4 linked regions of the Lepisosteus oculatus genome follow. The protein of the gene in region 1 purifies or fractionates together with the protein of each later gene. This does not show direct contact. Links are inferred from orthologs where the notes say so. Each region holds a gene or a part of one and is shown in the gene's direction. Other genes may lie near its edges. The genes, in order: mecp2, ybx1, gtpbp4 and kpna3.

The links.
Region 2: the proteins of mecp2 (region 1) and ybx1 purify together in Homo sapiens (affinity purification with western blotting; 3 studies listed by BioGRID, with this or other methods). This does not show direct contact. The link is inferred for Lepisosteus oculatus from reciprocal best matches to the Homo sapiens genes MECP2 and YBX1.
Region 3: the proteins of mecp2 (region 1) and gtpbp4 purify together in Homo sapiens (affinity purification with mass spectrometry; 3 studies listed by BioGRID and IntAct, counting the BioPlex papers as one, with this or other methods). This does not show direct contact. The link is inferred for Lepisosteus oculatus from reciprocal best matches to the Homo sapiens genes MECP2 and GTPBP4.
Region 4: the proteins of mecp2 (region 1) and kpna3 purify together in Homo sapiens (affinity purification with mass spectrometry; 3 studies listed by BioGRID and IntAct, counting the BioPlex papers as one, with this or other methods). This does not show direct contact. The link is inferred for Lepisosteus oculatus from reciprocal best matches to the Homo sapiens genes MECP2 and KPNA3.

Annotation. Positions count from the first base shown.
Region 1 is NC_090697.1:75,512,618-75,519,841, reverse strand, and holds the start of mecp2 (methyl-CpG-binding protein 2), read left to right. Parts: upstream 1-4,208; 5' UTR 4,209-4,230; coding exon 4,231-4,292; intron 4,293-5,683; coding exon of another isoform or gene 5,684-5,715; intron 5,716-7,224. UniProt on the Homo sapiens protein: Chromosomal protein that binds to methylated DNA. It can bind specifically to a single methyl-CpG pair. It is not influenced by sequences flanking the methyl-CpGs.
Region 2 is NC_090720.1:9,798,817-9,805,996, reverse strand, and holds the start of ybx1 (Y-box-binding protein 1), read left to right. Parts: upstream 1-4,163; 5' UTR 4,164-4,287; coding exon 4,288-4,393; intron 4,394-6,935; coding exon 6,936-6,999; intron 7,000-7,180. UniProt on the Homo sapiens protein: DNA- and RNA-binding protein involved in various processes, such as translational repression, RNA stabilization, mRNA splicing, DNA repair and transcription regulation.
Region 3 is NC_090701.1:13,527,680-13,535,080, forward strand, and holds the start of gtpbp4 (GTP-binding protein 4), read left to right. Parts: upstream 1-4,386; 5' UTR 4,387-4,448; coding exon 4,449-4,496; intron 4,497-5,023; coding exon 5,024-5,194; intron 5,195-5,455; coding exon 5,456-5,559; intron 5,560-6,139; coding exon 6,140-6,276; intron 6,277-6,841; coding exon 6,842-6,942; intron 6,943-7,401. UniProt on the Homo sapiens protein: Involved in the biogenesis of the 60S ribosomal subunit. Acts as a TP53 repressor, preventing TP53 stabilization and cell cycle arrest.
Region 4 is NC_090710.1:26,351,056-26,358,331, reverse strand, and holds the start of kpna3 (importin subunit alpha-4), read left to right. Parts: upstream 1-4,276; 5' UTR 4,277-4,365; coding exon 4,366-4,677; intron 4,678-7,276. Other genes in the region: spryd7a (SPRY domain-containing protein 7), read left to right, coding at 1,278-1,375. UniProt on the Homo sapiens protein: Functions in nuclear protein import as an adapter protein for nuclear receptor KPNB1. Binds specifically and directly to substrates containing either a simple or bipartite NLS motif.

The DNA of each region.
Region 1 (7,224 bases):
AGTTGGGGAATTTGTAACGAATACGCGTTGCCTTCATTTGCAGTCACAGGAAACCATGAGCTATTTCAGTATTAATGGGAGCTCACATGGTGGTCGTCTAGAATGATTAAAGTTTCAGCGTTTTCATTTTGAATCTAAAGTAAATCGTTAGAGTAAATGCGTCACACGGTACAGGCAAGGAAATCAGACCCCCATTGCTCAGTAACCAGATCCACCTCAGGCCCCTGCAGTATCAGGAACTTGTGCTCATCCCACACCACGCTTCCCCACTTGCTTTGAGCACATTACAAAAACCGAAGGACCGGACCACGTGCGCATGCTTTTCAAACTACAAACAGGAGGCACTTCTTTACACGAAGAGTGGTGGAGGTCTGGTGCAAGCTACCCAGCCATGATGCGGAAGCCACAATTTTCTTTTTCTAGCAGGGAACAGCGGGGTGAGATGCTGGGATCGGTTAGCTACTAAACTACTGAGCTGGCTTGACGAGCCCAGTGTTTCCTCTCGTTTGTAAAAAAAAAACTATTTTCTGCTCTGCTACAGAACCAGGACCTTTTATTCGCCCAGTACAAGATAGACAAGGAATTTCTCTGGGCGCAGGCGTCGACATCAGTTCCAATAAGATAAAAGAGTAACAAAAAAGCAATCCACAGGTAAAGACAGATTTCAGTGATGTAGACAATTTAAAAGTCTATGCAGTTGATTAATACAGTGTACAGTGAATGCTGTGTATATTTACAGAAAGTATCAGTAGCGTGTGTCGTTAAATGAAAGAGTCATGGCCGGGGGGAGACACCATGCAGCTGTCGGTTAGTCCTGGTTTTTAGGGGTCCCCAGTGGTCTCTGCGGAGAGGGAACACGCTGGAAGAGAGAGGGGCCGGGGTGTGAGGGGTCGTCCTGGACAAGTACACAGCTCCTCGGCAGCTCGCCGTGATCGTCTAGTGCTCAGCACTCTGTGTTGTGGCCTCAACGACCCCGGGTCGAATCCGGGCCACGGCAGGTGTGAACCTGGCACAGCAGAGGAGTTCTCTTCGGGGCCGAGCGGCGGCTCTGTGGCTGAGGATCTGTGGCTGGAAGGTTGCCGGTTCAAATCCCGCGGCTGGCACAGGAATCCTACTCCATTGGGCCCCTGAGCCAGGCCCTTCACCCCAACTGCTCCAGGGGTGCCGTATAAATGGCTGACCCTGCGCTCTGACCCCCAGCTTCTCTCCCTTGTCTGTGTGTCTCATGGAGAGCAAGCTGGGGTCTGTGAAAAGACAAATTCCTAATGCAAGAAATTGCATACGACCAATAAAGTGATCTTATCTTATCTTAACTGCTGTGCAACAGGACTCTGAGCTCTCTCCCTGTCGCAAGAACACGAGGATCACCGGAGAGGTGGAGAGTGACAGGAGAAACAGCCAAGCAGGAACTCTGACCCCTCTAGAGAAGACAGTCCACCTCCAACTGGCTACAGAGGGCCCAACCACACAGCCTGTCTCCCTCGCGGAGCCCAGCTTTGGTCCTGCAGAGCCACAGTCCGACTGGCTGCCCTTCAATCAGCAGCTTGGCAGAGGACCGGTGTGTGTCACCATCACCCTACCAAGCGTAGAGGGTCAGTTAGTTCAGGAATGGGCAGATTCCTTGGTCCAGACAAAGTGGAGTATTTTTAAAGGACACCCAGAAAACCGGCTGGACTGTGGCTCTCTGTCCCGGCCACAGAACAGGCAGATGAATTCAGGAGAGGAAACAGGTTTCAGCACTTCTCACATCTGAACTGTTGGCAGTTCTAAGGGCGTTAGCGTCAGAGCAGGCACTTTTATTCAAAATGACTCATTAACAACCATTCTTGTCTAGGCACAGTTACGGCAGTTACAGTTAAACTGCTACAGGAATATAAAAAAACAACACAAACGAAACATCACAGACGACATCGCTCAGGGTTGCAGAAACTGCTGCTTTAAGGGTGACCATGCTGGACACTTGCTGGACAGGCCCAGGGCTGGCTGTGCTTGCTCTCGTTGGGACAGCCGTTCTGCTGTGATTGGACCCGACTGGACCCGCGCTCAGCGTTGAAGCGTGAGACAGACCTCCCAGAAGCTGCAGAAGGAAACGAGGCCTCCGGCGCCGGAAAAGGGAGGGACCGTTGTGCACGAGGACAGGGTCTGGAATTTCACATCCCAAGACGGCAGGTGAGGCCCGGATCAGTCCGCTCTCAGGTTCAGCTGCCCGTGTGAACAGAACAAAGCCCACTGCGTCTTTCAGAGATCTGAGCGATGTCGCATCAGTGTGTCTGCAGTGGTGTCCAGTCCTGGTCCAGGAGGGTCGGTCAGTGTGTCTGCAGTGATGTCCAGTCCTGGTCCTGCAGGGTCGGTCAGTGTGTCTGTAGGTGTTCCAGGTCTCCTTAAAGCAGCAGCACCAGCAGACTGACCAGCCCTCCGGGGGAAGGGGAGGACCGGTCTGGTCTGGTCTGGTCCAGTCCGGTCCGACTGAATCAAACGTCGCCCCTCCTGCCTGCAGTGTAACAGCATGTCTCATCGCTCTCCTGCCTTGAATTCCTTAATTCCCAGTCCACCTGCGTCTCCTGCAGGAGAGCCTCAGTCTTGGAGCGGCTCGGTTTAGGGGTCTCTGGGGTCTGCCACAGGTCCCCAAAATTCCCCTCCCCCCCGCTCTCTGCCTCTGGACCATTAAGGGGGAACCATCCATACTGTGGAAAAACGAGTGATTAGACTCGACCCCCCAAAACACAGAAGGCAGAAAAGCACCAGTGTGTGCTAGCCCCATGGGAACAGCATAAAATACCGAGAGCCCTCCCTTGAAATACCCAAAGTATATCATGAGGAACCCTGTCTAACTTTAGAGTGACACTTTAGGATAACCTTGACCAATCATGGCCTCCTTATAACCCCCCTCTCTGGACTGGCTTCATCACTCTGCTCTCCTCCCCACTGAGAGCTGGTGTGTGGGGGGAGGACTGGAGCATCATCCAGGTGGGGCTGCACACTGGTGGGGGTGGAGGGGATCCCCATTACCTGTACAGCGCTTTGAGTGGAGTGTCCAGAAAAGCGCTATAGAAGTGTAAGGAATTGTTATTAATCATTATGGATTTCACGGCGCCGGTGGCATACAGTACCCTGCTCGGACACCTCAGGTGCATTTTCATTCGATTTTATTGGAATGAACCAGCGAGCAGCGGTGTTTGGGCTCAGAAGGATTCTCTGCATTCGTCTGCATCACAGTCGACGCAGATTTGCGGTGTTTTCTGTACGCTGACACTGAAGGCACAAGCGGCTGTAGTCCCCTCGGAAAACGACCCACGACTGATCTACAGGCTCCTGCCCCACACCTCGGGGCAGTTTCCCGGAGAGCCTGTGTCTCGCTGTCGAGCCGCTTTCGCAGGGAGACGTGGAAGCCAGCAGGTGCTTTTCCCCTTCCATCAAACACTATCTGGGAAAATAATGCGCTAAACTACTCTTTTATTTATTTTAAAGTGTTTTTGACCCATACCGTCGTACAAGTCAACAAGAAAGTAACCTGTTTTATTTTATTTATTTTACTATAGCTACTTTACTTGCGTTCAAATCTACGTATTCTATTGCACAAGACGAGCTTCATCGCCAGCACAGCGGCCAGACTACCGCTGGACCGTGGTGGAAGACGTGCACAGGCGCGGAACAACTACACCTGCGCGCCGCAAGAGTTTCAGGAAACACCCAGCCTGCAAGAGAGCACAGACCCAAAGTGAAACTGCTGCGGCTGACCCGTTTTCAGAGCTGCGACAGTTCATGCTGCTGCGTTAGAAACAGTTTTCGCGGAAACGCGGCAGGATTTCTTCTTTTTGCGTCGTCTCGTCGGGACGCCCCTCTTTGGCTGCTGAAGGGCAGGGCAGCGCTGTCCCGTCCCCCCCCACCCTGAATTAAAAATGCCAGTTGAGCTAACGAACGATGTAATTAAATAAAAACCTGGTCTTTTCCTCGCCACCTCTGACCCTCATTCATTCCGAAAGCCGCGGCGACCGGACACACGAGGCGGCTGAACCCTCTCTCTCGCGCGCGCGCTGCAGGAGCTCGCGGCGACTCCCTCGCGTCCTCCGCGTGCGGGCCGCCTGGGATGGGCGTTCACTTCTGGTTTTTTTTTTTTTAAACGCTAACGGCCACTCCGCCGACCTGCCGCCGGTAGTTTCGAGAGAGAAAAAACACACACCTCGTTTTAATTTTCCTTTTAATCGTCCCACGCCCCCCGCCGCCGCGACAATGAGCCTTGCCTCGGGTACCGGTCCAATACGCCTCGTTCACCTCGAGGTGGGAGTGAAAGGGTAAGTTTATCCGTCGTATTTTTTATTTTTTTCCTGGGCGCTTTGGTATACTTTTCGAAAGGAGGAATTGGCCGGAGTTTTCCCACGTTCGTATTTTCAGCGAATAAAAAATCCCCCCCCCAAAAAAAAAAGTTATTTTCGAGGTTTGAAACCTGCCAGGTATCACTGCGGTAGGCGAAACACTCAACTCTTTTAACGCGGAGACTCAACTGTTCACGGGCGAGCTTCAGTTTATCGCTGTAAATTCCTTTAAAATCGGGGGGAAAACCCCCACAAAGACATACAATTCTGAATCTCCGTTTCGCACTTAAAGATGCTCGGTAATCACTTTTGTACAGCAATACGTTTTTTTCCGCTTTCTTAGCTTTGCTAGCTATTCAGTTTCAGTTTGGCTGTAAGCAGTCCGTACCGCCTGGGTCGTTTAGGAGATGAATGCGCTCCGGTGTCGGGATACACATTTTTATTGGCAAAAATGCGTCGCCGTTCACAATAACGTTGTCATTGTTCTGTACATGTTCAGTATAAGTCTAATGAACGGATGTCTTCAAAACCGTTTATCTGCGTTACTCAGAAAGCATTTAACACCATCTCCCTAAGCTGAAACAGTTTCACATGATTTCAAAAAGGGAGTATCCTGTGAATAATTCAACTCCTTTACCTCCTATGTATAAACAGAAGAATGTGAATACATGTTAGGGTTTCCTGTTGAGGATTTCTTTAAAACTTAGTTTGCGCCATTTCTCAAGTTTTACAATTAGCTTTTAGATTCACCGCTGAAATATGGAGCGACATTGTTCACTCTAGGTGTATAAAGTTTTCCCGCGGTTGTAATTTTAAATCGTACAAGGAAACAAAATAATAAACCTGCTACCTTTTCCGATAGACCATGAGTACTCATTCAAAAACTCGGGAATAATGAACCAACGACTGAGCTGAGTAAAAGCCAATCAGTTCGGGTTTTAGTGGACTTTCAAACGAAGAAGCTGCGCTCCAGACACCGCTGATGTTTGGACGGATCCGTTTCTTCGACCAATCGGAGCTGACTGGCATTTTTTTTAACCTATCAGCGCCTAGATAAGGCAATTGAGTGATTTTCTGGCAAGCCAATGACATTCACCGTAGATGAGTGTCGTTTCTCGTAGCCAATCAACGGCAGGACTTGGTCGTTGGGGGCGGGCTACTCCGGGGATCCTTTTCAGCGAGAGATTTTTGACTTCGCAGTTGCCATAGAGTTCTCGCGGGAACTCCGGGCCCCAGCCTGTAGTTTCCTATGGGCTAGATGGTGTAATCTCGCGAGAGCTACACTCACCGATGGGAGGGTGATGTGGGGAGGGGGGGGCTTCCAAAAGATGTGTAGTGAATTTTTTTATTTATTTATTTAAATATAAAAAATGGCCGCCGCAGAGAGCGGAGAGGAGAGACTGTAAGTGTGAATTAAAAATATTTCTCCCTGTGTCTTTTTAGATAAACGAGAAAGCAGTGGAGTCGTACAATGTGCACTATACAATTCTCTGTTTTAAAGAATTGCATATCTTCTTTGCTCACGGAAGGCGGGGTAAATACCCCATTAAAGGGGAGTATTTTCACCCGCTTTTTCATCTCAGTGGGGTGAGAAAATCAGTATTTGCGCGATTAGTACAGGGAAGAGGTGTGTGTGTTTATATGTGGTTATTTTTTATGTGTCTGTGAACTCAGTCCTGCATTGTTACGAATATTATTTTGCTTTATTGGTGTAGATTTCTACTTAATGCATTATTTTCCTAACTGCATCCCCACCCCCTTTGTAAGTAGAATTTAAAACACAGCTTTCTGTCTGTTTGGCTCTGAAAAGAAGTACACGGGAAGGACCGTGTTTTGATTTTCCTTTCCGTGCTGGTAACACTTTGAATAAAGGGTATGGGTGAGCTACTGGGCAGCTTTTCTCTGCGTATCAGAAAGTCCTGTGTGATTCGGCACCCTCACACAATGCGTATAAATAATGAACTTTTTGGATTTGAAAATGACACGCGATTAAATATGAGTCAAGATTGGTATTTTTTAACATGCAGCTGGGTGGTGTTTGTGTCGATGTTGACCGTTTTATAGGCAAGAAAAATGAAAGTGTATTTTGATTCCTGAACGTGTGTTCGTTTATGTGTATGGAGTGTGTTTTTTTCCTCCCTTGAAAAAGACCAGACTGGTGCACACGAGTCGATTATTACGTACAGCACAGATTAGATATATTTTAAACATTTAGACGAATCTATTGTTACAGTTGTCGGCACTGAAAGTTTTGTTTTAACAAGCTGTGTTTCTTAGAATTGGAAAAAGACACCTCTAGCTTCTCAAATACACTGAACAGGCTTGTTGCGTCATTTGTTATGCTAGGGGAAAAAACACTGGAGGTTAACATCTTTCTGCTATTAGCATTTCCGTTTCAAATCCGTGCTGTGTGCGATACAAATCCACGCGTATTTTTGTGTTTTAACCAGAAAAATGAAACGGCAGTTTCTGTCCTTGGAGGGGCTTAGATGGGCTTGGAACGATCCATCTGTCTGAACTGTGCAGTGTGTGATTTAACATTTTGCCACGACCAAAAAAAAAAAACACACAAATGCCCTTGTTTTTAAACTGAGAAATTTCAACTCGAAACGTCTAGGGAATAATTTTATGCGACATATCGAAGTGTGGTTTTGCTGATTATTGCTAAGAAACGCGGATGTGAGAGGTTTTATTGTCAGGATGCGGGATAAATACACCGGTGTACTTAGCATTTCAGCTCGAGTGGCGCCGCACACAGCCGTCTTCAAAGTGCGTCATTGTGTAGAAAGACGGTCATATTTTTGGGAAATGTTTTGTAAGGGGTGGGGGAAAAAGACGTGTTTGTGAAATATTATTTTTTCATTTCATATCTAAGAATTGTTCTTTTTTTAATTCACAGCCCTGCTCCTAA
Region 2 (7,180 bases), on another chromosome or scaffold:
ACACACCTGCTATCAGTGGGGAGGAGTTCAGAGATGGGGATTATTAGGAGGCCATGAAAGGTAAAGGCCAATGGGAAATGTGGAAGTCCACATATATTGTATTGTATAAAGTGGTTATAAAATCTAACAATTCTAGCTGAGGCTCTGTTGCCAATTCTAATTGGTTTTATATGTGCTGGTGAGCAGTGGAGTCTTGGAGCAAATGTGAATAGGGCGTAATGAGAGTGTTGTTTGATAGGGACGGCCTGCGGCTTGCTTCTCACATTGCATTCCCCAGCATCCGATCCTGATGGCTTTAATGCACTTATTGCCAAGCATTCCATTACAAGCCAATAACGATCATGCACCAGCACAGCCAAGCCACCCCGAAACATCATAACAGCCTCCTCTGGAAGGCTGTGGCTTGGTTAGATTAGGCCAAAGGTTTTAGCAGTATTTTACAAGGTAACCACACAACGGGAGGGTGCAGATTATATCAGACATCCAAACACTTCAGACTTGAACATTGTGGCGATGTTCTCGGGAGGCTTTGAGGATTTTTTGCTGCACATTCTAAAGATGGCGGAATGGTACAAACTCCCAGACATGAACACTGTTGCACTAACACCCTGTAGTGGTTGTAATGACCCCAGAAATAACATTTGGACAATAGCTCCTGAAGCCTATGAGCTTGCATTGCCACGTGGTTTTTGTGCCAAATGTTTGGAAGCTGTGATTACCAAGTCCTGACTAAGACCCAAACTTGTGCACGTGCAACATTCACTAATTTCTTTTGCAATCTGTTCGTTTCAGCAAATAAAAAAGTAATTGTGCATTCAAATGTGGAGAAATATATCATGTTTAAATTTGAATCCTCCCGAGACTGCGTTCACTTCTTTTCACTTGGCGATTCAGTGAAACGTGCCAGTTGACCAGGGGTGCCCAAACCTTTGATCACAACTGTGCACGAGTGTTTAAATTGGTGTGCTCGTCTTTGAGTTCTAAAAACCCAGCACTTAACGTGAACAGATGTGCTTCACTGAACCCTATCAACGCCCCCCAGTACCTGATTTCCTCTGCAGGACAGATGGAATTACACTTTCTTCCAAAGAAGGAGGTAAATGCAATAAGTTTTATACAGCAGATTCACACAGGAAAGCTCACTCTAAGTTTCCATATTAGGAGATGTTTTTTCTCTCTACAAACAAAAACAGAAGGTGTGAAACTGAGCTAGACGCTTTGCGGTTGTAATATTAAAGTCAAAAGGTCAAATAATATGCTTGAATTATCCTTTTATACTGTTGCTAAGCACAAAGCATATGAGCTAATACAAATAGTCACTATTTTATATACTTAATAAAAAGGCAAATGCTCAAATTCTTCCTCAATGGTTTGGTTGCTTGAAGTGACCAGAAAGCCTTGATTGTGAATACTAGAAAAACAGAATAAATTGTCTTCGGTCTCGAACAGGATGAATATCCTTCCCCAGTCACAACTCCTAATGAGTCTATTAAGCAACCTAGTGTACATCCTATGATGCGCTGGGAATATACACAGAAGCTACTCTGTCTTGGAAGGCACATGTTGACCGCAAGTTGACTTTCTTCACAGGTTATGGGCTGTTGGTACCAGTAGTCAGGTTTTGTCAATGCATTTTCAGTTCTGTGGTACAGAATGTCATGCAGTGTGGAATAGCTCTCTAGTATAACAGATGTTCTCTGTGCAACAAGTAAGTTAAGATGTCCAAACTCTGAAGATGTGTTCTAAGATAGTGGGCAGGTACTTGAGCAGAGCTTATAAAACTGCATGCATTAACAGTGCGCTGTTAGTATCTCCCTCTGTGTTCTGCAGGAAGAAAATCTACTGATGCCTTCCTGCAGTCGTTTTAAAGTCCCCCGATGCAGATCTTAGAAAGATGAGGAATTCCTTTATCCTACACCCAATCAAACCACTAAGTAAATTAGTTCACAGTGATTTCTGTAGAGTACTGGTTTATGGGCAAGTGCAATTAGTGGTTTTGTGCAGTTCTAGGGTTTTGGAATGATTGGTGAAATGCAGATGGGATTCCTGTAGGAGAGGTGTCTGATGAATTTGTACAGGTCCCCATTACCTGTAAAGCACTTTGAGTAGAGTGTCCAGAAAAGCTTTATATAAGTCCACAGCTCCAGGCTTTCCTGATCTTTGATAGAAGGCATTTGCACATGGTACAGTATGTTACTGCAGCAGTCAGGGAGAAGAGCTTTACTCTAGGGTACAACAGCAGTGTCTTGTCTGGGATGGAAAATCACCACCTTCTGTTTACAAGTCAACAACCACTGCTCCATACTGCTGTCCCAAACCTGTATTTCTGAGAATGTCCTGTTACCTGTTATTTCATAGATCCCAGTGGATAAATCAGTTGAAAAATTAATAATTGAAATGGTATCCTGATATCTCTGGATAACATTCTGAGGGGACAGACCCTGCTCCTAGTTATTCCTCATAAGGACACTGGTCTTAATTTTATCAGTGTCCTTAAAGGCTCCCAGCACAGTGTCCTGATATCATTCTTCTGTGGTCAGAAGAGTTTGTGTGACAGGGTTTGTGATTGAATCAGACGTCAGTGGAGGGTTTTCTGAAGGTCTCCTACAGGGCACCGTAGAGGCCTAGATAACTGTGACAATCCCACAGAATATAATTAACAGTAATTAACTTAACTGCTGGATCGGTTTACTGCATTATGCTAACAGACAAGCAATTTAATATGGGGTTTAGGATTTTCCTGGTGTCCTTCTGACATTTAAAAAAACCCACTCTGGTTTTGTGGAAGTCTTTTTGTGGTGAGGACCAGCTCAAAGCACTTTACAAACAACAAAAATGGAGACATTTAAGGCCTTATAATGCATCAATATATAAGAAAAATGGGGCCTAAATAAAAAGAAAAAACCTATATACAAGTTTAAATTATCTTCATTCAACAAAATGTACTTCAAGATCCTGACTCTTGAGATATGTAATCGTAACTGTTTTTAAAAGTGCTAATGTTCACAATAACGGATTCTCATTACTTTATATAATGTTCTTTTTTTTTAGTTATGAAGAATATCGTATTGTATGCAAAAATAATTATAATATCAATGCTTAGAATTAAAGGCAGCTACGGGATTCATTTTTTGATATACAGTATCTAATCAATGAATCTACTCAACTCATTCAATTTTAATTTTAATTCCAGACAGGGATGAGTCGCAATAAGACTGATTCGGATGGGAGAAGTTTATAATCTAGGGTCTTGCCTTTTAGGGGTTATAATTGCCCATTGCACCAAGACAGTATTGAACGAAGTATGGAAAATGTTTTTACTTGTTTAAAGGCGAAATTTAAAAGAATAGAACTAGGATTAATTTACACTGCGGTACACAGTTAAACAGATTTTCAGATTCTTAATCTAATGTAAACGAATAAACTACGAATAAAACGAATGAACTTGTTTTTGAGGGCTTTAAGGTCTAGGGTACTGATTACAGGCAATCCTGACCTACATCTGTAAACTTCACGCTAATGTTTGCATCAGTAGTTCGAGAGCAGTTTAACCCTCTCCGTGCATGTTGATCAGATGTCTGGTCCGATGTTCCTTGTACTGTCAAACACTGACAATGTTACAGGCGCAGGGCAATGCGTAAATATTCCTATCACGAAAGATAAAGTGGGCGTGATTTATATTAACTGTAACATTTTGCCAATCCCTAGCATCGTGGGCGGCATCCTTGACATTATCTGCCCAACCAGCGCCACTGATTCACAATCTACTCCGGAGAAAAGGGGAGTGTTTGATTGGATTGAGCGCGGCCCCTTCTAAAAACTATGCAGTTGAGTGACACTTCGGTCTTCCAATCAGAGCTAGAAATGCGTACAGCTGGGTTAGATTGACGCGTTGTTGTCCAATCACAACCAAGCACTCGCAGAATACCGAGTAGGCGGGTTTTTATGCCGCTCTGTGGAGTCGCAATCCAATTCACCGCCGCGGAGGTTTTGGTGAAACGGACGGCGCCGCGCACCAATAGGAGCGACGGAAAAGAGCACCGGCCCAAGACGGACAGGGGTTCTGACCAATAGAATCAGAGAATGGGCGGTCGCGCCTCTGACAATATTGTCAGGTATCGGCTCGCTTTCCGTCCAGTTCGATCGGCAACGGGAGCGGAGAAAGGAACGCTGAGAGCCCGAAGGCAGCAGCCCCACCACCGCCGGCCCAGGTTACCATCACGCACCGGGAAAACACGCTAGAGAGCCACCGCCGGCACAAGTGTAACGTAACCCACCGAAACCACCATGAGCAACGAGGCCGAAACACAGCAGCAGCCGCAGCAGCCCGCCGCCGCGGAGAGCCCGTCCAGCCCGGCAGCCGCAGCTACCGCGGGGGATAAGAAGGTCATCGGTGAGCCCCCCGGTCTCTCGTATTTTTTTCTTTTCCCGTGTTGTTACGTGATTTGAACTGGGGACGCGACGCCGAGGTTGAGGGTTGGAGAGGTGACTTTTTTTCTCCGGCGTGCGGTGTGTCGGGCTCCGGGGTTTCTTTGTGTGAGAAAAGTCGGTTGAGCGTTGATGGTTGAGGGGGGGGCGGGGGGGCGAAAAAAAATAATTTGGAAAAAATAACGAGCGGGCGGCCTCGAGCGGGTCCGGGGCAGCAACGGTTCTCGTCCCGTCGCCGTGGTGACGGGAGCGGGCTGCGCTCTCGAGCCCCGGCGCGTGCGGGGAGCCCGGCGGAGCGGAGCCGGTGGGTGGGATCGGGCCGGAAGCGCCGGGGTGGGTTTGTGGATTCCGCTGGTGGGTTTGGGATAGTGATCGGAAAGACACCCCCCCCCCCTTACTCACAAACACACACTACTTGCCCACGCATCCCAATTCCTCCCCTCCTGGGGGTGGGGGTTTCTAGGTGTGGGTTTGGACTGGGCCGGGCCCAGGGGACACATGGCGATCCGGCCGCCTTGCAGGGTCTGTGCGTGTGGGGGAGAAGGGGGGAGCGACGCAGGCGAACTTGGCCTTGCTCTTCACCTCCCCGGGGCAGCCGGGGCGATACTGGCCGCCCGCCTCCCGTAAGTGGGTCAGGTCGCGTTCTCCCGCGGGCCCTTCCGCACGGAGCCCGCCGGGGCCGGCCTGCAGTCCCCGGCCCGCGGGTAACGCGAGTGCCGGGCTGCGGGAGGGCCGGTGTGAAGACTCCCCCTTCCTCACTGCTCCTCCACACACACACACACCCTTTGTTCATTACAGTGCGGTGTAGTAACTTGAGCGTCGTGTACGGGCCGAGGGTGTGCAGCCGCTTCATAAATCGGCAAAGCCGTCTTTCCCGACGAAAATGCCGCTTGACGGCTTACAAAAGAGGCGTCGCGTTCCCCCCCTCCTCGGATTATACTAGCGGCTGTGTGGAAACTTGGCGAGGGGGGAAAAAATCCAAAATGTCCGCCGCGGTGTTTGGATACGAGAGGGATTTCTTTTGTCTGAGGGAGGCGATGTTTTTTTTTTCCTGGCGTGTGGGTGCTGGGGAGGCGGGCGGCGTGACCAGGAGGACCGGACTGCGGCCGATCCCCGTTCCCCGTAGTTTAGGGTGGGGGGGGGGCGATTAATCGGCGGCCCTGCCGTGGAAATCGCCGTCGGTTTGGCGCGGATTGTGGGCGTCCGTCCAGCCACATGGTAGCGCGTCGGGCTGGGAAATATGGAAGTTTCGCGCTGTAACAGGCGGAGACCAGTACAATCGTAATCCCCTGCGCGTCCGTTGTACTGGGAATAATGGAAGTTTGACTGGCGATGGACGGCCGCTTGAATGATTGATTTATCGATACTGTATTTAGTTTCGCGTCCGTGTGGGGAGAGTGCAGGAGACCACGTGTGAAGCATTCTGACACTTCCTTATATCGTTACAGTGAATCATTCTTGTTACAGGAAAGAGCCGAGGTTACGATTGGTTCTTTGTAGCAGCAGACTGTTGAAGCATGGCCGGGCCACGTCGTATACCCCTGTATAGCCAGTAGAAGTTCTTTCGCCCGAAATTATGTTCTGATCCAATCAGCGGGGTTGGTGAATGTATTTTGGACACGAGTTCATCATACTGCTGAAGTAGTTAGTTTTGCAATGGACAGCTAGGCTTTGCATCATAATCTATAAAAAGCTTGTCACCATGTGGTTAAATATAGTGTCCAGATAGTTTTACAAGCCCTACCCCACTCAATAGTCGCAGCACTCCATGCTCCTAGTTCTGAGTTTCTCTGAATTCGGCCAATTAACCAGACAATAGCTGTAGGTCCCGGTTCTGAGCGTTAGGTCCTCATTTTATGTTTCCACTTTTCCTAGTAAACCTTTTCTCCTAGTGCTTACATGGTCAGATTTTAATGAGAGTGATGTTACAGTAAAGTCCAAGGAGTGACTAGAATATAGTTCATAAGTTGTTAAATACGGAAAGCAAATCGGTTCCAATTTTAAGGACTACATTTTTTTTTTAGACAAAACCTCTGCTGTTCATTATTACTGTATATACTTAAAGCAGATTTTTAAGTGACACATGATTTGAATAATGCTTAAAGTTACAGAGGTGTGGAGAGAATTTAAATATTTAACCTGTTTTTTGTCAAAAGAGACTCTAAGAGCCTCTGGGCTGAAGTGTGATATAGAGCTGTAGTTTTGCAGAGATGTGTAAATGACAGGAACGTGACAAGCAAGGGTGTACTGCCTACAGTTAGACTCCTGTGTGTAGAGAGAGAATGATGGTAAAGCATCAGTGCATGGTGAAATTAAGGCTCTACAATTACATTTTACTGTAGAATACGTTAAATACAAAAGAACCCATCAGAGTGAAAGTCTGCTATGAGACATTATAATGTGGTTTTCTTTGTTTTCTGATAATTCTGGTGTCTGGAATTTGTAAGTTAATAATTGCCTGACTGCTCTCTGGGTATATGAAGATGTAAGACTTGTTTGTTTTCCAGCAACAAAGGTGTTGGGAACAGTGAAGTGGTTTAACGTGAGGAACGGCTACGGTTTCATCAACAGGTAATTTAAGCTCTCTCGCCTTGTTTAGGACATGGATGTGACCTGTGGGTCTGATATCGTGCTCAATCCTATTAGCCAGGTTATTTGCTTGTACAGCTGTAGATTTATTAGTCAGTGTCCTGCTCCTGTTTACTTGCTGGGGTTTAGCAAACCATAAGCCTGTTAATTTAGATTGGCTTCA
Region 3 (7,401 bases), on another chromosome or scaffold:
CTCCTTAGAGACCAAAATGAGAGATGAGATCAAATAGACTCAAAAACTCCTTCCTGGTAGCAACCTTTCTCCTGAGATTGCAAACCTGAAACAAGTTACCTCTGAAACATGTGGTCTTGCATACTTTGTCTTTTTCTTGTGCCATGTTGATAAGTCCTTATGACACATACGGTAGGCACAGACTCCAAGCTGTAAGCTGTTGAGACTGTTAAGGTTATATTCTCCCTCCGTTTCGTGGGTAAATGTAATTGATTATAGTGTAACCTTCTCATATTTCTGGCCTTTCCTGTCTGCAATCATGACGTTCTAAATTAAAAAATGAGCACAGCATGCATAATTTATACTAAGCACAGAACCCTGCCATATTATTCTTCAATTATTGTCCACATGACTTCCTTGCCAGAGGTTTAAGTACTGTCTACATCAGGTCTAACCTAATGCACAAACCTGAGCTCATGAGCTACCTTAGTGTCCATTTCCAGTCTGTCTGATGTTGTGTAGCAGAGTCTGTGTTTGAACATCACTACATAAAGACCTTGTGGTACATTATTTTAGTCAAATACTGGACTGGAAGGGATTGAGGTCCCATTAGATTGGCAGCTAGATAATGTGCCAAGATTCTCAGTTGTCAGTGGGAGGTGTTTATCATCCCTAACTATCTGGTGTGTGTACATGTGGGGGAGGAACTAGTCTGAATATTGTTACCGTAGTGAGTAATATTTCTGTTGGTGCTGGAATTATATTTTGGTAAAAACTAGACTGAACAGTTTAGGTTCCATGTGAGCAGGATTGGATTCAATTGTTTTAGCGGGTTTGTTTTTAGAGGTTCTGTCCTGTGTGAAACGCTGGCTGTCTGTGTGAAACAAAAGAGTGTGGCGCCCTAATTAGACCAGTTCTGTGAGCACTTGGCCACAGTGCGTGTGTTCCAGGGCTGTGACTGAAGAGTGAGAGAGAGAGTCTCCTTCAGCTCACGGGCTTCAGAATTTCCCGGGGTGTTTTAGGTTTGGGGAGAAATCCAGACTTCTGCTTCAGGCTACTCTGAAGCAAAATCTTGGCAACACATTTTGCTGCACGTGAAAGTATAAAATCCACTTACATGTACAGTGAGTCAAAACAAGGCTGCAATAGGTTAAATGGGTTTTGCTTCCCATGTAGGCATTTAGGATGGTAAACACTGAAAAGCTAGATCATCTGATCAGTTTTGAGTCAGGCCACTGAAGATGGGGGAGGGAGATACCAAGGCAATAATTTTGCACTGTTTTTTAGATGAGGTTGTAGAGCAAATGTCAGTCAGACAGCCTGTCTCTGTTCCCTCCTACAGATGTATTAATGTGAAGCCTGGATTTTCAGACAGTGGTCTGTCTGAACCTAGGGTGTGTCTTCTGACGCACTTACTCTCAACCCTGAGATAGTGGTGTGTATTTTTGTTTTGAAAACAACATCAACAACCACAACAACAACAATAATAATAATAATAATAATAATAATAATAATAATAATAATAATAATAATAATAATATATGTGGCCTCATAATTTTAAAATACTTTAAGAGAAGTCAAATTGATAAGGACTTTCATAAACTGAAAGGGATTGATGCCTAAACTGAACACTAAGACACTCTTAATTATAGTTCAATGCAGTATAATGGATTGAAGATTTAATGTGTGAAGGAAGCAGAGGTTTGTTGAATTAATAAATGATGTACATACATTTTTTAAAAGAGAACTTTTTTTAATCAATTCTTCTGTGCTCAAACACAATTTTAGGGATGAAAGTAAAATGTCAGCAAAAAGTGGGAGTATAAATCCAAATCTAGATCTTTAAGAAATGCTTGCACCTTTGGCAGCAGTTAGAGATGTAAGTCTTTTTGAATAGGCCTGTGCCAATTTTGCATACTGGGAACTGAACTTAAAGGAATGTTCCACACTGACAAGCTAAAATAAATGAACCTTTTTACACTTAAAAGAGGATGGAGAGCTGACTCAACATTCAAATACTGTGTGGGTATTCCAATGTGTGTTAAAATTTTGTAATTGTCAGAATTTCTCTGATTGTATTGTAAAATACTCACTTTTGCAGGACCATCTGCACCAGACCCTGGACTGGTACATACAGCCAAATTCCCACATATGTATGCGACAGATGTTGTTTATGATTTATTCATTTTATTACATGTGTACTATCTTTATGTCAAGGATGCTCATTTTTAATGTGGCAGGGTTCTTTTCTTTGCAATAAACGCAGCACGGCGGATTTGTTTCATAAATTGTTTTCCCTTTAATATTATGTATTTCTACAGAAATTGTAACACACACGCAGTTGTTTGCTCAACCTTTAAATGGGCAAGTCAGATCTTCACACTTTGTGGAATGTAAGGGCATGACCGTTCAACAGTAATCTTAACTCAGTGACTGATGAAGTCGGTCCCTTCCTATGTGTAAAGCGGTATGGAATCTTCCATAAAAGCTCAATGTAAATGCAAGTACAAAATTATTTACTAATCTTTTCAGGGTAGTCCTGGCCTGGGCTGAAGTTTAGGGATTTCACCTGCAAAGCCGCAAAGTCACTGTCGAACCCCTGGAGGCCAAAGATGACCTGGTGGCAGCTGGCTTTATTTGGCCACCTTTACTGACTGATCTTCAGACAAAGTGAAAATGTCTGGTCAGTTTTACCCTTAATATTCTGTTCTGCACCTGAGTCACAGCTGTAGTTCATCCAGCTCACGGAGATGACACTCAGAACAGGACGGAGAGAAAGATGGATTGTGAGAGACCCAAGCACATCTACAGCAGCAGAAAGCACTGAACAAATTGTTTTAGTTAGCACACACTGCCCCACCCCCATGACCTAGATTGGACAGCTCTGTGGTAGGCTGTTCAGTGAGTGCTGAGATTCTGTCCAAAACAATCCAGTGTTTCTGACAAACAGGGTCATGGAGTGACCCACAACGCCTCACAACATCACACTTCCACTGGATATGCTTAAACTGGCCCAAACTGGCCAACCGTTCTATTCTACATCAGTTGCCAAGTCATCAAATCAGAGTCTCATATACTTTACAGGCATGGTAAAGTCTGGGAACTTAACCAAGAACCAGGCATAACAGTATTGTAACGCATACAGCCTCCATTGACTGTGAGAGCTGGCTTACCATTGCAGTGACGTCACTGCCCTTCCCTGTGAATAGCAGGGACCACAGCCGCCGGGCTGATGGGAGATTTCCCTTTGGCTCAAGAGGCTGGGTCCCCATTGAGTGATGCCGGAGGCCTGGGTTTGAGTCCCTGACGGTTGGGGGCCGACCTGATGCGGCAGCGGCGAGGGTGTCCATGTGAACCCCTGAGCGTTACAGTATGTTAGGTTGAAGGTCATTTGTGTCAACGCTAGGTGAGTCAATCTGGCATTCTTCAATGTCCAACGTTCTCATTTGCCAGTCCCTGTCTGCTCAATTCCACTTTTGCCCTGCACAATCTGGTCTGCTGCTCTCCCTTAATTAAGTGAAGTAATTTCTCACTTCCCTTCCAGAACTGCCATGCAGTGGGGCTGCTGGCATGTTGAAGTTTGCCATGGGAACATTATGTCTCCCTTGCTCTTGAATCCTGGAGCTTCCTGTTGTCTAAACTCTCCCAAATAAAATTGGTCTTGTTACCCTCCATGATCTCTTACTGTGTGGGCCGTGATTCTATTTTATACCCTCTCCCTAGACCTTTAACAAGATTCTCAGGCATCATTGTCAGCAAGTCTGCATTGCATCCTTTCCTGGTTAGTACATCTACATGTCCAGTCAAAATAAATAGTATGTACCTCAGACAATACTGAAACATAGCTAATAGAGAAAAAAATAGCCTTATTGATTTTCAAAAATGAAATTGATCTTTAAGAACAGAATTTAACACTGCAAAAGAAAGTTCTCCAGAAATGTGTGAAATCATCTCTCACTGACACATTTGCTATGTAAACGTTTAGAAAACCTGAAAAGCTAAATTCAAATGCTGAAATGCTGTTGTCTCTTTTAACGTCATCAGTTTAATTGTGGCTGTTTATAAAAATATCTGTAAAACAATCCCTTCACCAACGAGACACATCCCTTTGAAAGAATAATTTTATTTTTTGAACAGTCTGTCAGGATGCCTTGCAGTCAAAGATGTCAAGATGGACCGTCACATAGACAGTATTCAGCCTTACTTTTGATATTTTCATGAGCATACTCTGAAGATTAAAAAAATACCTTAAGAAAAAGATATTTTATTTTGTTGATAAAACCCACAGACTGCTAATGCTGCAAATATAAATCTCGACTAGAGATGGCAGTGTGGAGAAACAGTTGCCTGCATTTTCGTTGAAGGACACCCTCTTGCTCAGGCAGAGTTGTTGACATCACTGGGCGAGTCTTCCGGGTAGCCTCACGCGGCATCCTCTGGAGGAGAAGTGTGCTTCGCGGTGTGGAAAGATGGCTCTCTACAACTTTAAGAAGATTATGGTGGTTCCCACCGCAAAGGTAGTTAACGGACCTGTTTCATACAGCATCATTCTGATTTGGATAAGTCTAGCGGTAGTGCTGTAGGTTAGCAGGCGGTCTGAAAAAGAGAAATCAATCTGTTTAACACGATCGGGCTCAGTGGTCTCAGCCTGTGAGCAAGGACACGTGTCTCCTGAAAGTATTTAAACAGCGCAAGATGAGGAGCCGATATCGATACCGAATTAATCGATACCGAATAACTGCTTCAGAATGTTATGTTTAACCACCTTTCTTGGTTTGACAAGTTATTTTTATGTACATGGCGATGATAAAGTTATTGTTGAGATTGACAAGCGTAAATGTGGGGTTCGCGGACGAGTATCGCCTTGTGAACATTTTGATTTTACGATTAAATGCTTATTCTTGTGTGTTTTTTTTGTTGCACGGTGTCTAATGTATGGGTGATATTTGCCTTGTACTGGACCAATGTCTGACCATTTTTCTCTTTTTTGGGGGGTAAAATCGGAGCAAGCAGAGTAACGCTAATCACTAAATCTTTTCCTTAGGACTTCATAGATATCACATTGTCAAAAACACAAAGGAAGACTCCTACAGTTATCCATAAGCACTATCAGATCCATCGTATTCGTCATTTTTACATGAGAAAAGTGAAATTCACCCAGCAGAACTACCATGACAGACTCTCCCAGATCCTGACTGATTTTCCCAAACTGGATGTAAGTCTTATTTCTATACATTCAATAACTAATGGTGTTAGTTATGTTTTTTTAAGTGCTAAACATGTCTAACATGAATGTACGACTTATTTTGTTTTCACTTGATTTAAAGTTTTAAACTGCTTTTTGCCTTAAATTGAAGGATTACATAAGGAGAAATTTAAGTACGTTTATGCATATAATCTAACATAATGATATAACACATTATCTTGACTGCAATTGCATTGAAATGCTTTTAACTGTTGTCTTTCTTGGCTTTAGGATATCCATCCTTTTTATGCCGACTTGATGAATGTTTTGTACGACAAAGATCATTACAAGCTGGCTTTGGGACAGATTAACATAGCTAAGAATCTCATTGACAAGTAAGAAACCATGTACTTTGATTAGGAATCTTCTTAAGGCTGTTGATAGTACTTTTTGTGGCAGTGGGATATTTAGTTCAGATCTTGGGTCCTCTGTATGATTCCACTTTCTGTGGAAAAACATAAAATATTAATAGATTTAAAATGAAGAAAATCTTATTTTCTATCTTAGTTTCTTCACAATCCTGCAGGTGTGTGTCTAACATGCTAACCTGGATGTTCGTTTTTGTATAATATTAAACAGCATATTTTCCTCTTTGAGAATTACATTCATTCCGAAAAGTTATTATTTTAAGACATAGTGTTGCAGCATGAGTTTATCTTTCTGGCTTTTATTTCTGTCTTGCTTCCAACATCAGTTTCTCTTTTTATTAACATCTGTGCATCAGGACAATAGGTGAATTTTGATATTAAGACTCTAATGTTTGTTTTTTTATGATATGTTGTCTTCCTTATTTGGGGACCTTTATTCAGCATACATTTTTATACATTAAAAGATAAACTGATATTTAGAAATGTATAAAAACTCACATATATGTATCGAGAAAACAATTATATCAGTTTCTGTTGTTTGTCTTAGTGTTGCCAAAGACTATGTCCGTCTTATGAAGTATGGGGATTCTCTTTATCGCTGCAAGCAGCTTAAACGGGCTGCTCTTGGACGAATGTGTACTATCTTGAAGCGACAGAAACAAAGCTTGGAATACTTGGAGCAAGGTAAAGCTTTTCAGATTATCCATCAAATTATCCAGCACAGTTAGAATTGAGTGACAGAGTCATTATGTGCCAGTTTTGATTCCACTTGCCCAAAGAAATGGCCTGGCCTTTTATTTTTGGTATTTCCACACTTTACTTTCTATGAACCTTTAAAATTATTTCTGCGTTTTCAGTTACAGATCTAATGCTTCTCAGGTACACTGGTTTCGAAGGTTGTGTACAAAGAAATGTATTATCAAAATGCAAAGTTGTGTGCAGCATGATGAGGCATCAGCAGCTGTGACTGTTTATAACAAAATCACCTAATGACAGAAAAGCTCTGTCTAAAATCTACTGGGGAGTATTGTTGGCGCCTTTGTATGAAACATAGTTGTGCTGTCGTGTGCTAAAAGTGAAATATTAATATTGCTAGAAATAATAGAGCATATTGTATTTAACGATTCATTAGTTTTACATCTTCAGGGCTTTTAAATTGGTTCAAGCAATCCTTTTTTCCTGAACACCACAATTAGATTTATAATTATATTGTGCTCATGCGTGTTTCTGAACGTAATTTGTCTTTCAGTGCGTCAGCATCTTTCCCGTTTACCAACCATTGATCCGAACACCAGGACTCTTTTACTCTGTGGATATCCAAATGTTGGGAAGTCGAGCTTCATTAACAAGGTGAATATTGTAGACATTTGCTTCTTTCATTTAGAGACATGAGTGCCACGTCTGCCTTAATTAGTAAATTAATTGAAATGCATGGTCTTGTTCTATTGCTTCAATTCTTAAAGCTTCAGACATCTATTTTCTTTTAATATTTTAAGAGTTTTTAGTATACAATGTGCTGCACATCTTTGAACCATTATATTTCACTATATTACTAACATCACAGAATTCTCAAAACACAGTTTTCCAAGTGTGATTGAGAACTGTGTCATAGTAGCTTGTGTGGAACATTCACTTCACTTCAGTTACATCAGAGACCCTACATCTCTGTATATTCTGAAATCCCAGCTAAACACTTAGTAAAATGTTTGGTAAATGTCTTAAGTAGAGTTTGTCTACAGACATGTAACTCAATATATTTTGCCTGCGTGCCATAAGTATTAAAAAGTAAAAAAAAATGTCAGCCAAACA
Region 4 (7,276 bases), on another chromosome or scaffold:
GGATTCCTTGGACTGTTTGATGCCCTGTCCCCTTGGATTAGTGGTTAAGATTTGGTCAAACCCAAGCTTAGGCATTTCCCCTTCACGAACAAGTCCATCGGGCTCCAGGCAAATTCGTTTGTGACTTTTGTGAGTTGTGACTACCACAGAACACAAGGTAATGTTTTAAACAGTGTAAGGTATTTCTGCTTTTGGTGTGTTCTTTGTTTACCTGCATTGACTGTTGATTACACTAGAGACCTGACAGTATCAAACCCACCCTTGACAAACAGGTACTCACTCATTACATTACAGAAAGGAGCTGTGCATAATCAATTGAGCTTTGCATTAACTGGGGAGATATAGGCCAACACAAGTTGTCTGCTGAAATAATTAGCTTGGAAATAATGTGTACGCACTATAGTAAAGAAATCTTTGGCTAATGGAGAACTTCAGAACTGTAGTTTATGAACTAAGTTCATACTGCCATTTGTTATGGATTATTTTATCCTTGCTTGGCTTCTGGGAAAATTGGCCTTAGATGTGAGTGTGTCTGTCTTTGTATCTGTTTGCCCTCCTATGGCCTGGTTAACGTCCTGTCCAGGGTGGATGCCGCCTTGCTCCCTGTAACTTGCTGGAGCAGACTCCGACTCCGACCCAGAATTTTAAGAAGCAGTTAGGAAATGGAGGGATGATGGTAGGTGGGCCCAGCCAGGACACTAGGGAAACACTCCTACTCTCACACAGGAATGGCAGAGTAATCAGGACCTGAGTGTAACATCTCCTCCTAAGGCCGGCGCCTGATACACCACAGTGCCCTGGCTTCCAAGCATTGGATTCACAATGGGGAAGAGTGCCCCCTACTGGCCTGCAGCCATGCTATTTTCCTTAAAAGTCTCCCATCCCAGTACTGACTAGACTCAGCGCATTCTGAGATAATGGCTGTAGGGGGGGGAACATTGTCATTTGTAAGAGTTGTTACTTTCGGTGTTTGTTCGTCACTTCAGCATGTTTAGAACTGTAATCACAATTTAAGCTAGTATCACTGTAAGATGAAGCGTGGTCTCCAATTAACAGTGCTTCTGTAACTGTAATATTATTTCTGACAGGTCCTGGGTCTAATGGGAAGGTGCAGTTTCCTTGCCATTTGCTGCACCCAGTTCTTCTCTATGATTAAGTTTTAGCCAGTGGCTTCTGGGTGTTGTCTTTAGCGGAGCTGCTTAAGTTTCAGCCTGGATGACAGAAGAGAGTCACCTTAGTCCTCTGTCTTCATGACCTTTTCTCCTGTGTGTTTCCAGTGGATGACAGTGCCATACTGGATTGCCAGTTCAGCGACTTCTACCACACGCCACCCCAAGGGTTTGAGAAGATCCTGTTCGAGCAGCAGATCTTCTAAAAAAAAAAAAAACACTGCCTCTCGTGAACGCACCTGCACTCTTCCAAAGCTCTCTGTCTGTGTGTTTCTCTGAAGCTCTGTGACTTGTATCATTGTCCGGTTTGTATGGAGTTCTCCTGTGAAAGCTTTATGTTCCAGCCTTGTTCTTCCCAGTGCGCAGTCTGGAGATCAACTGGAAGACCCTAGGTGTTAAAGTACTCCAACGTCTCAGTGTGGACCAGGCTTTGTTGCTATATTTAAAAGAAAGAAAACTGCACTGATAGTGTCGGCCCTGCTCTTCAAGTCCCGTGTAAAAAGCAGTGCAGATTTCTAGTAGTAGCAGTGAAAAACACTAGGTTTATATTGTCAGCAGTCTTGACTGAGCCCCTTTGATGTAGGAATGAAACTTTCTCTCTTGCACCATGTTGGGAATAATTTCTGCACATTGGTTACTGAATTCAGGTGTATAAGATGGTATCGTGTCACTAGTAACTGTTGAAGCCATAGTTATGAAGCCTGTGATACAGTACTGTCTATTGGTGTTGAAATTATTTTGCTTTTTGTTGTAATCTACATTCTACATGTCCACATTGCCTCACTTCTTGAGGTGTTTAACTTGAATTTGACATCATTAATGAAACATTTCTAGTTCCACATATTGGGAGATGGTTCACAAATGCAGTATACTGATAATGAGTTGTCGTTTCACCGATTAGCTCACTGCATAAAGCCGTCTGATGAATATAAAATGTATGTTGTAAAACGCTATAGAACTTTTCACTGTTGATTTTCCTTTCACATAAACCCCCCAATATCTCTTTTTTTCTCCCCCTCTCAAACCTTGTTTTGTGACGGAAAAAATAAAATCCAAAATGAATCCTGGACGCCGACAACTTCGCTAAAATAGGTCTCATTAGTTTTGGCTGCCGAAATTCAGGGAGGTCTTTTTCAATAATGAGCACATTTTAAACCGTTCTTTTTCCCCCATTATGGAGACAATTTTTTCCTTTTTCGTTGCTGACATCCGTTTTAAATGTTTCAAAACAATGTTTTGTTTGCACTAATGAAACTTGATGTGTTGAGTATTAAAAATCCAAATGGGTTTTGTTGTAAGTCTACACTAAAATAAAAAATTTGCACCTGGACTAAGGAGTTTCTCAGTTTTGAAGATCATTGGTGTTTGGTTTTAGATCTCACTTCAGTATGCAAGTATTTCGCTGGTTGCCAATATAAATAGCAAGTTGGTTTACTGGCCTTTAAATATGAAAGCTCTCGGGTTTCTGAGCATATTTCTCAAGATCTACAGGGTTTGCTTAGGTTTTATCCTCTCTGGTATGCATGAAGATTATCACAATATTCCAGGTGGCCCTGCCCACAAGCTGCAATTAAATGAAGATTAAAGACATCTCAACTCTTGTTTTCTAATGCATTTTATATTTCCTACATTAAATATGCACAGATGACCAAGATTTTTTTTTCTTGCACTAGCTAACTGAAGTTACTTGCAGAGGGAAGGTGATGAAAGGAGCGGGAGGGGAAATAGAATCGATAGTTTTTTGCCTCCCTGTAACTCTCCATTATCTGGTAGAGTGTACATCCCAGCCTCTAGGGAGCGCACATCGCGTATCTTTTGTCACCCATCCCTCGTGAGGGAGGGGCGGGCTGGGCGCGACCTTGGGCTCCACTTCATCGGGGACGCGCCTCAGTTGCGCGTGTTCTGGGCACGTGTTGCCGTAAGAAAACATTTGCTCAAGCAATCTCTTGTATCCCGGTTTCAAATAATATAGTCAGGCCGGTTTAGGTGTGAGCAGTTATTTTTAAAAAAAAACAAGTCTCGTTTCAACATTAGCATAATGTGCACGGGAATTGTAGGCGAACAAGAAGACGCGTTTGATAGTAGGATCCGGTATCCTAGTGCAGGAATAATTTTAATACAGGCATATCCTGGAATGACAATCGCACATTTCGCTTCTTTTATACAAATCAAGAACTAGTATATACCTTTCAGTATAGTTATATAGTGTGTAGGCTGAAATGTTTACATCACACCTTTAAATTCTCCATGTGCTCAGACAGTATGAGAACCCTGAAAATCATACGTATTGTGAACCGAAAGAAGTTCGTCCGTTGCGTGTTCTAGTTGAAATTGCATTTTTAAATGATTTTAGATTGACAAAGCTATTCGTTTGATTTTTTTTTTTGGAAAATGGGTGTTGATTTGAAAACATTACATATCTTCTCCAGAAAATAATCCTTTAAGCGAATATCTCAATTTTGATAGGTACAGTATGCTCGTCCAAAATACTAGGGTGTATTTCTTGTGCTATCTTTTACTCTGCTGAAGCACATTTTCCCACCTCAAGACACTAAAAATAATCTGGGAACAGTATTTTTAGGTTTGTAACATCTGCTTTTTCTGTATGAAATGTAGGCGCATTTAAAACGTTTCCGTCTGTTGAGGAATTCTGAACTTGAATTCAGTTTAATATTTAACAAAAGACGTCCATAATTTGACATATTTGCTTAAATCTAGCTCTATAAATTGTGAAATTTAACGCCCCATGTTGTGTACTTAGTTGCTTTACTATTCCGTATTGTGCTGTCTGAATTAATATGCATGTTTCCATGGATTCAACGCACCAGATGTGATGCTTTAAAGACACAATTAATCTTTGATATATACGGTGCAATTGAACTCCGTTAAAGACGACACAGCTCGACTGTTAACTTCCTGTAGAGGGAACACCAACATGTATGTAAAGAATCTATGCACCACAACGGTATTCTTGTGTATTTATCGGAACTGTCCATGTTTCTAACTTACGTAAGGCATGCGCACTCTTTATAACGTGAAATACACTGACGCAAGTCTACAAGTAGGCTGGAATAACGACCTCAAAACCCCGTTTGCTGGGGGAGAAAACTCGGGAGCGATCTAGCCAACAGCCGATGTAATCCGCCGGCTAGAGACGCGGGCTAGCTGAAGGCCCTCGCTGTGTTTATATTTGTCGATGCGCACATCCATTGTGCAATCGCACCCCAACCAACAGCTCGCTCGCAGCGCCGGGGCCTCTCTCCGGCTTTCTCCAGCTGCCGAGCGTGGCTCCTCCTTCCCGGCCCTCCTGCCCCGCCGCCTTCCGTTACGTCTGGCCGCCCCCCTCTCCGCTGCACAGCGGACTGTCTCACCCCCTCTCTCTCTCTCTCACTGGAGCTCCGAGCGCCGGACCGCACTCGCACCGAGCACACACAGAGCCATGGCAGAAAACGCCGGCTTGGAGAACCACCGCATCAAGAGCTTTAAAAACAAGGGACGCGATGTCGAGGTAAGGGGGGAGCCCAGGGGATGGCGGCATGGTGGTGGTGGTGGCGGCGGCGCCGCGGCGGGCCCGGCCGGGCCGGTCCGGTCCGGGCTGAACCGGGGTGGGGGCGCGGGCGGTGAGCGGCTGTGCCCTCCGGGCCTTGCGACCGGCTGTGGGTTTTTTTTTTTTTGCTGGATGCTGCTGCTGCTGCTGCTGTTGCTGTTGGGGGTAAGAGGAGCGTTTATTCCGGAACAACCCCCACCGCCGCCGCCGCCACCACCACCATCATCATGCAGTGCGGGCGCGGCCTAAAGGAAAGGCCTTCTCTGTGCCATTAAACCGCGTTTTAATCGTTCCTCCACCGTCTTATGCTTTTCCCTAGTGAAAAAAATAATAATAAAGCGATTAACCTGTGCTTTTCTTCTTTTGGTTTTATTCGGGGCCTTTTTAATTGCTGTGGGGGGAAAAAAAATCTAGTTAGCATCACACTCAGTTGAGCCTCTTTTTTTTTTTCTTTTTGCTCTGCTCTTGGTAATGGTGTTCCTGACAAAACGGTCTACGAAAAATGGGGTTCTGTCCTAGCCTTTTCCCTCCCCTCTCAAATCTTCCCTGATTTGGAGAAAAAAAAAAGCAAAGAGGGGGGGAAAAACGAGACTAGAAAGGAGAGCGTAGCCAAGAGCCGGACTGGCCAAACGGCGCACTTTTCCGCATTTGAAAGGGGCGGCTGTAGCACGCCTTTCCCTGCCCAGATGTAGAAAACCGAGCAGGCCGTAAGCCCTTGACTCGGCTGCAGGGACAGAGACGGCGCCTGACCCAGCCGGCTCCTCAGGCGGCCGGTCGCCGGCGACATGCAGAGTGAATGTGATGGATTGTCATTGTTGAGATCACGATGGGCCCTGTAACATTTGAAACGCAACCTGTGTGCAGCCCGTGAGGGATTGTGCTACTGCGGTAAAAGCCGGCCCCGAAGTCATGGGGTTTTGTAGCTCTGTTGCTGTGTTGTATGCAGGATTGCTTCCGTCCGTGGTTTGATTAGGTTAGGGCACACAACTAGTTTTTAAGGGCCTGGCATGCATATGACGGTAAATGAATACATCAGTCGCTGTAACTCAGGTGCGTTTTCACTTTTTTTTTTTACCTGCGCTGTTTTGGGAGGAGATCTAAGCAATATGTGCGGCACAGTGGGAGAAGATGTAAGGACACAGTTCGTTAGAAAGAGGCATAGCGGTTGGTGCTGATAATTAAGGGACTGGGAGATATGATTGCAGACGTCTCACTGGCGTGCTGAATGAAATTTAAAATTCAAAAAATCGTCTAAGGTGCTAGTGCGGGTGCCTGTTGTTTCAAAGTGCGTTTTGCGTTTAGCTGTTCTGCCTTGAAGTTCGTACATTGAAGCTTTTGCGGTTTCGTTTTACTTTATTGGTGTTACAAATCGGCAAGCAGAGAAGGAACAAACGGGGATTATTCATTCACTGCGCTAACGATTCTTAGCCTGGTTTGATAAGTGTTGCAATACTTGGAAAATGAGGTAAATCCACTTAAGATCTCCAAGGTTTTGCTAATGCTGAGCGTTTTTCGTGGGAGACTAGCGCGATTGCTTTATAATGGCATTGTTTGCACAACTATTTCGCGTGGACACCTCTGATCTCCTGAGATATGTAGGCTCTGTGTCCTGTTCATCACAGCATACACACAAGAACAGCCCTCTTGGGAAACATACAACCTCATCTCAATTTTAGGACATGCCCCTAATTTTAGGTTGGACTGCTGTTTCTTTAGACCAAGATGATTACAGGCTGACCCACATCTGTCGTTTAAAGGGTTGTTGGATGACCATGGCACTGTGCAGTCTTTTCTGACCAGCTCTTGTTTGTCATTTGTTGCCACATCAGGCTCTGAACTTGCCTATTGTAGCAACTGTAGTTACCTGTGTAGTTGTTCAGTCTGAAGCTGTGACAGCTTGACTTTAACATGCCGTCTATGTGTATCTTTTCAATGGTTGTAGAATCTCATCTTTATTTAGAATTGTTTTTTTTGACTGAGCAGTCTTTCTCTTATGGATTTCAGGGACCACCTATGCATTCATGACTTTATGCAGCTGTTTTTTTTTTAAATTGAGCTCATTTTGCCTCATTTGAATCCTTTGGATTGTTTGCGCTCTGGCGCAGTCATGTGTTTCAGGTTAATTTAATAACGGTAGAGCTACCTGAATGCCTCATCTGATGGAAATGGAAGACCTGCTAATCGGGCAAGGTGTTTGGTCAGTTCGGGTACGAAGAAGGTGACTATGGCTGGAGCCGCAGTAGAAACGAAAAGACAAGGTGTATCTAAAACTAGGAGCTGAGAAACCAGGTCCCACAGCTCTGTTTTGCTACAGGAACACTTCCATCACATGGCCGGTGTGAATGTGCAGTTTGTGGAGATGTCATTTCTAATACACTGTACCAGTCCTGATAAAGAGTCCTAGGATTGCGTGCAGTGCATTTATTAACACTTTCTAACTGGAACGCACAGTGGGCTGTTTTTGAGTTCATGCTTTGTTTGTCTCATGATATGATATTTCATGGTATATGGAAACAATATAGCCTTTAATAATGCATTAAGTTCTTTTCAAATAACTCAA